2 linked regions of the Stegostoma tigrinum genome follow. The protein of the gene in region 1 interacts with the protein of each later gene in a pairwise test. Links are inferred from orthologs where the notes say so. Each region holds a gene or a part of one and is shown on either strand. Other genes may lie near its edges.

Region 1 (3,751 bases):
GTCTCCTTACTTGAGAAGAGATATACTAGCATTGGAGAGGGTGCAGAGGAGATTCACTTGATTGATTCCAGAGTTGAGAGGGTTGGATTATGAGGAGAGACTGAGTAGACTGAGCATATACTCATCGGAATTCAGAAGAATGAGGGGAAATGTATAAGATTACGAAGGGAATAGACAAGGTGGAGGCAGGGCGGTTGTTTTCACTAGCAGGTAAAATTAGGACTGGGGGGCATCGCCTCAAAATAAAGGGAAGCAGATGTAGGACTGAGGTCAGGAGGAACTTCTTCACCTAAAGGGTTGTGAATCTGTGGAATTCCCTGCCAAGTGAAGTGGTTCAAGTTACCTCGCTGTATGTTTTTAAGGCAAGGCTAGATAAATTTCTGAACAGTAAAGGAATGAAAAGTTACAGTGAGTGGGCAGGTAAGTGAAGCTGAGTCTCAAAAACCAGCCATGATCTTATTAAATGGCAGGGCAGTCTCGAGGGGCCAGATGGCCTACTCCTGCTCCTCGTTCTTATGTTCTTATGAATGATGGTTTCTGTAAATATTTGTACAGTTAATAGATCTTATCCATTCGAAGGTAGATTGTGCTTTGTAGGGAACCATGCCCTAGTTATTAAATTTTTTATACTGGAAGATTCAAAAGTGGAACTGGGAGTGTGCAAATGCACGTGCAATTCAGAGGTAAAATATGCAGCAGTACTGTAATCGTAACAAACTCGAGTTTATTTGGAATTATTTGCTGAAGCGGCAACATGTTTTGTCTCTGTGGATTGCCTTGATGCATCACCTAATTGTGTAGATTGGTTCATGAACATGTTCGAAATCCTGGGCAGCAAAAAACAGAAGTTGCTGGAAAAGCTCTCAAGTCTGGCAGCATCTGTGAAAAAAAAATCAGAGTTAATATTTTGAGTCAGGTGTCCCTTCTTCAGAGCTTTGAGGAAGGGTTACCAGACTCGAAATGTTAACTCTTGAGTTTTTTTCTTCATAGATGCTGCCAGACCCTTTGAGCTTTACCAGCCAACTTCTGTTTTTGTTCCTGTTTTACAGCATCTGCAGTTCTTTTTTGTTTTTATTTGAAATCATGGGGACTGATAACTTCTAATTAATCTAAAAGTTTCAAAAAAGACTTAAACTGGCCTCTCACACATCCTTCTTGTTGGAAGTTATATTCAGTTTTATTTCAAGATGTTGGTTGAGCTATCTGCAATTGCTTTTTTTTGCATGTGAAAACATTCAATTCAAATACATATCCCTCTCAAACTGTTGCTGCATGTTTATTTTGTTTGATTAAAATTCAGATTGACAAACAGGTTGAATTTTTGGCCGGTGGAGCAACTGAAACTCAGCAGAAACTTGACAAAGTTCAAACTGCCCCTATTGTTCTGTCTTGCAGTACAGTACTCATTTCCTCACAGTCACATGATATGTCGTGCTAGAACAAGAGGGAGCTGTCAGACCAGCAGTCCAGTTCTTCACCGTTGTGTCTAAGATCAGTTTCCCAGAGTGAAAGCTGGAGTGTCAGGTATTTTCAGTTTTACATCTTTTCAAATTGAACTAACCAGCAGCTGAATCATTTGAGTGTAGATGAGATTGTGTACTTACTTCAAGCAAACCAGAATAGTAACTCTCCTGTTCACCAGTTAGTTGCGATTCCCTTGCTGAATTGTGTTGAAACTGTGTGTTGTTAATATTGTGGATTTCTGAGGGGTTAACCTGTTAGTCTTTGCTGGGCAGTGAATTCTGTAAATTACTCCTTGGGACTAACATCAGTTGCTTTTTTTTGTTTTAAAAATAAGAACATGTACAATCATATGTAAGTAGCATTAAAATGCTTGTCAGTAAAGTTAGAAATTCCTTACTGATCACACAGGCAGAAAAGCCATGTAAACATTCCACCCCATGCTAAGTGTATTTGGTAAGAGCTTGTGAATTTCTTTTAAAAGAAGTTGTTTCAGTTTCAAAACTTAGAGCTCCCTCGCAATCACAGACACGTACTCAGTTGGCATGAATTTGGGAACAGAAAGGAAGTAAAATGCAAGAGAAGTGACCCAAGTACAGCAGATTGTGATAAGGGTGTGCCATGCTATAATTTGCAGAAGCGCTTAATGCATTAAAAGCTGTCATTTGTTCATACCTTACGCACATATTTGGCTTTGTGTTGCCTCTTGTATACAAGTTTCTGGATTGTTATGCGTGCCCATTGTTCGAGCAATATTCTTTAATACCAACTTCACTTTATTTGTAAGCATTTAACTGCAAAGAAATTGTGAAATAATCAAAGCTGGTTACTTCCCTGAATGGCCTGTACTTTTTTGAAATTGGTTTCACTTGAAACCAGCTTTGTTGCAATGCACTTTGATTTTCAAATCCTACAGTTCTACTGTGTGCTGGTTTATTTCCTGGTTAAAACTTTCGTAGCGCAAGCTAATTCAGTCAGTAGTATTGTGTTCCCTTTTGAGACTTGCCATAGAGTCATAGGTTCATACAGCATGGAAACAGACGCTTCAGTCCAGTGTGCCAATCAGACATCCCAATCTGATTTAGTCCCATTGCCATCACTTGTCCATATTCCTCTAAACCTTTCCTATTCGTGTACTCATACAGATGCTTATTAAATGTTGTAATTGTGCCCGCTTCCACCACTTCTTCTGGTTGCTTGTTCCATACATGTACCACCCTCTGCATGAAGAAGTTCCTCCTTGGGTCCTATTTAAATCTTTCCCCTCTCGTCTCAAACTTATGTCATCTAGTTTGGGACTCACCCACCCTGGGAAAAAGACCTTGGCTATTCACCGTATCTATGCTCTTCATGACTTTATAAACATTACCAAGGTCACCCCTGGCCTCTGACACTCAAGGGGTAAAGAGCCGCAGCTTGTTTAGCCTCTCCCTGCAGCGGAAACCCTCCAGTCCCAGAAACATGGTGATAAACTTGAGCAGGTTCAGAAAAGATTTAACACCTTCCTATAGAATGGTGACCAGAATTGAATATAATATTTTAAATGTAGCTTCAGCAATGTCCTGTACAACAGTAACATGATGTTCCAACTCCTGTATTCAATCTACTGAACAATGGAGGCAAGCTTGCCAAACGCTGCCTTCACCACCCTGTCTATCTGTGAATTCAGTTTCAAGGAATCGGGCACCTGCACCCCTAGGTTTCTGTTCAGCATCACTCCCCAGGGCCGTACCATTATCTGTATAAGTCCTACCCTTTTTTGCCTTTATCAAAATGTAATACCTCATGTTTATTTAAGTTAATCTCCATCTTCTACACTGTCTACTGTGGTGTCATCTGCAAACTTCCCTCTGATATTCACATCAAAATCATTTATATAAATAACAAAAAACAGTGGACCCAGCACCGATCTTTGTGGCACACCGCTGACCACATGCCTCCAGCCCAAAAAGCAACTTTCTATCACCACCCTCTGTTTCCTACCTTCAAGCCAATTTTGAATCCAATTGACTAGCACCCCATGGATCCTATGTGATCTAAACTTAGTAAAAGTCTCATAACTTTTATGAGCGATATCATACTTTAACATTGAAATACTTGAGTACTGTACGATTTCTAGAAAACAAATTAGATACAGCTGGAATAAGATCTGATGCAGCCTTAAGAGAAGTATTGCTGTTTGTCAGGTAGATGGCGTTTATGGTGGAACTGTGTTAAAAATGTTGATTAAAAGACTGGCATTTATATGGCGCAGTTCAAACTTTTGAATGCTTCATATAGCTTTATGACC
Region 2 (3,751 bases), on another chromosome or scaffold:
CAGAGATAGGGACACTCCAACGACCCCTGCTGGAGTTGAGGAATATCTGATCATCAAAGATCTGGTTGAGAAGCCTGCAGATTGGATGGGCAGAGTGGCCTGCATCTACCAATCCGTCTTTTATGGTTACCCTGAAAGGAAGATTTTACGAGCTGGGGAAGATGTAGGCGGTTTGGGAGGCTGGATGATGGAAGCACGGCCGGCAAAAACAGAAATTGTTGGAAAAACTCTGCGGTCACAGCAGCACCTGTGGACAGAAATCAAGAGTTAACGTTTCGGGTGCAGTGGTCCTGCTTCGGAAGCCGAGAGTTTGTCACTGATTTCCAGCGTCTGCGGTTTTATTTTCTTTTTTAAAAAGGAGAAAAAGCGCGGAAAGACAAAAGAGAAAAGCAATTGTCGGCCGAGGCGCAAAAAAAATACAAAACCCTAGAAATTGTCCGCCGACGGTAAAGAGCTATTCTATCCATTTCTCAACAAAGTCAAGCACCGACCTGTGCCGAGGGAGGCCGAGCTAACGTTTCCAGTTCAGTGACCCTTCAACTGACGGGGGTGGAAAAGGAAGAGGCCGTTCAGCCCCTCGCGTCACGTCAGCCCCTCGCGCCAACTCATCAGACAATTGGGTCTTGTGTTCGCCACGCGAGGTGTGGGGGGGTGGTGGAGGAAGCAGGTCCGTGTCGAATGTGCCGTTCGGAGTAGAGCGCGACGCGTGCGGTGAGGGGCAGAGACCAGCGAAAGGAGTAGGGGAAAGAAACAGTTGGAGGAGGAGCAGCAGATCAGGCCCGGGTGTGTCGAATCAGCTGCCGCCAGTCGGGTAAACGCAGGACGCAGGCGCAGTGCCACCTCCCCGTCTGCCTGTCTGTCTCTCCCTCTCCCTCTCTCTTCCCCCCCCCCGCCCCCACACCCACCCCCTCGTTCAATGGACGAAAAGTGCGGCCGCGAGCAGCCCTCAGCTCCCGCTCCTCTCACCAATGGAGACGCCCAACAGCAGCAGGCCGCCGGCGACCTAATCACCAAAGTAAGCGATGTCTCAGACGGTCAGAAAACGAAGAAAAAGAAGAAGAAAGCAGGTGAGAGCGCAACCGAAGATCTTATCAACCGGTGTAAATGTTATTGACGGGGAGAGGTTACGTAAAAAAAATGTCGGTTGATGATGGTGGTGGGGGCTGCGGGGGTGGGAGGGGGTGTAGGTTTGCAGCCGCGGATCGTGGTGACCTTGGTGGCTTCAGTTACACTCTTTAGGCCCCTGAAGGCCGTGCCGGATCTAATATTCCCACCACCACCACCACCTCCTCCGCCTCTTCTTGGTAACCGTGTCGCCGTCTGTCTCGTCTTTCCTTCCACCTCCTCCTTCACTCACAGCCTCTTTTCTGAGGGAATGAGGCGCGGTGCCGCTGGGGGAGAGGGGAGACGGTTGGCGGTCTTTTGCTCTATTTCTGCCGGCGTGAGTCGGGGCGGGCAGGCCGCAGGCCCCGGCCTGTGGATGGTGGTGATGGTGGTAGTGTTGGTGGCGGCGATGATGATGATGCCGGCTCACTGGAATGTTCTTCAGCTGCCATTTCCTGTCCGCCATGTTGGAGGAGACCCACACACACTCACTCCGTGTGTCTCTCTGCCTCCCCTTGGAGTTGGATGGTCAACGTTTTAAACAACAGCCCCCCACCACCCTGATGTACGTCACGCAAACGGGAGGAGGTTGCATTGTTGCTGAGCTTTTTAAAGAAAAGAAAAAAGATCTTTATAAATAGTTATCCCACTCTCCTGCGTGCGCGCGCACACATGAGTATTAACCGGGAAAGACAGGGAGTGTTGCTAGCGGCCCCTTCCTCGCCTCGTCTATTTATCCGCTCCAGCGTTAGACTTTTCTTTCCCTTTTCCCCACCCCACGTTTTTCTTCTTGACTTCAAGGGTAATCTCGTCCTCGACGGTTAATGTCTTCCAGATTCTTCTCGATGCTTCATCTCTTTCCTTAACCACCCCCCCCGCCCCGCTCCTTTCTCAATCAGGGTTGGTTTCATAAAGCGAAACATTGCTTACACAATTTGCTGTCTTCCCCCACCCCACGCCCGCTATTGAAGGAAAATATGTATTCGTGATTTTTTTTGGAAGGGTCCATTATTTGGCAGGTGCAGTATAGACTTTGCAACGTGGGAAAGTCGATGAGGGGTCCAGTTACAAGCGGGATTATCGAACACTTTGAAAACCTTAAATTATCGCAAATACTTAATTTTAGGACAAATGTTACAGTATATCAACAGCATCTTTGGGCCTTGCCAGGGACTACTCCAGGTAAAAGAGCCCTTACGCAAAAGACAGGCAGAAAGCGTAGCATTGACAAAATAACCTGATGTAACTTGTTTGATTTACGTTAAGGATCGAATAGCTTTGATTTCAGAAATCTTTAGTACGTTTTTGTGTCTTTAGATGCATTGAATTAAATGTCTAGATCAGTCATATGTTTGTCATTAAGTGTAAGGTTGAACTAGTACTTCTTACAAGCTGGGTTTAAATATGCTTGCAGTATGTTGTGTGTATGGGTGTACTTTCAAAAATATGTGAAATTGAGTATCCAGTGATGTAAGAAGTATTCCAAATCTGTAGTTTATCATAAATGTTTGAATGCTGGAAAATATGGAATTAAATAATTAAACTTTAAATTAGCCTTCAAGATATCCAGCATGTCCACTATAATAATTTGCACAGAACATTGTCTTAATTTCAAACACTTGCGAAGGAGATCCAAGGGATTGGTGGTATCGTGAAGAAACTTTTATTTAAGCACTTACTATTAATTGTTGAACTGTTTATATCTAGTTAGGTATTTGCCATTATTATAATTAGCCTGTGTGAAAAGAGGTCTTCCATCTATGTGGGGCTTGCTGTTGCTGCAATTTATGAAAGTAATCTCTTAGCTTTGACAATGATATTGAGTTTGTTCCATCAGTGTGAATTTCAAAATCATAATTTTTAAATTTGTGTAAATAGGCAAATAATCCCCTTTCTGTTCCTTTAAATTAGGTGTTGTTCAGCTGTAAATATATTTGTTCAAAACTTTGCTATTCCTTTCCAAATGGTTTTATGGCTTAAGCTCAAAAATTGTTCCATATCAATGCTGCATAGTATCCTGCATATGAGCAATGACTGTCAATTTAGAAGTTCGGTTTCAGGACTCTGCTTTATGTAGGAGTTCATTGAGATGGTTCTGAAATTAATTAAAGACCACAAAATATATTTTGTTAACAATTTTCTTGATGTACTGGAATCAAATCAACCACAAGTGAATCAGGACATGCTACTATTGTAAACGTGTAGGTTTCTTTATGTTGTTGTCTTGAATGTTTTTGAACGTGGCTGAGACAAGGGCACTTTATCTCAGCTTAATGTTGCTGAAACCCTTATCCATGTTTTTTGACCCCTATGCTACCTTGGGTAATCCTGGTTGGTCTTCCATGCTCTACCCTTTATGAATTTGAAAATAATCCAAAACTTTGCCCATGTACCAAGTCCTGTAGATCCTTCCCCTGCTAACCTGCTGTTTGGCTCCTGATCAATCTATTATTTGCAACCATGCTTTCAAATCTGCCTCTGCAACCCTACCACTCAAACATCTGGCTTCCTGAGTCTTCTGATTGTAATAACTTCATCCTTGCTTGCCAAGGCTCAGCTCTAGAACTTTGTAAGTATCTCTGCCTTTCTTTTGGTCCTCTGGATTTAAGCGTCAATATCTTTTTGGCTAAGCTATTGGCCATCTTTG

Evidence for each region. The genes of interacting proteins can lie anywhere in the genome.
Region 2: the proteins of progranulin (region 1) and nufip2 interact in binary tests that used the Homo sapiens proteins (3 or more experiments, as listed by UniProt). The link is inferred for Stegostoma tigrinum from reciprocal best matches to the Homo sapiens genes GRN and NUFIP2.

What each region holds. Positions count from the first base shown.
Region 1 is NC_081384.1:30,758,795-30,762,545, reverse strand, and holds the start of progranulin, read left to right. Parts: upstream 1-1,395; 5' UTR 1,396-1,524; intron 1,525-3,751. UniProt on the Homo sapiens protein: Secreted protein that acts as a key regulator of lysosomal function and as a growth factor involved in inflammation, wound healing and cell proliferation. Regulates protein trafficking to lysosomes, and also the activity of lysosomal enzymes.
Region 2 is NC_081380.1:31,902,921-31,906,671, reverse strand, and holds the start of nufip2 (FMR1-interacting protein NUFIP2), read left to right. Parts: upstream 1-877; 5' UTR 878-916; coding exon 917-1,067; intron 1,068-3,751. UniProt on the Homo sapiens protein: Binds RNA.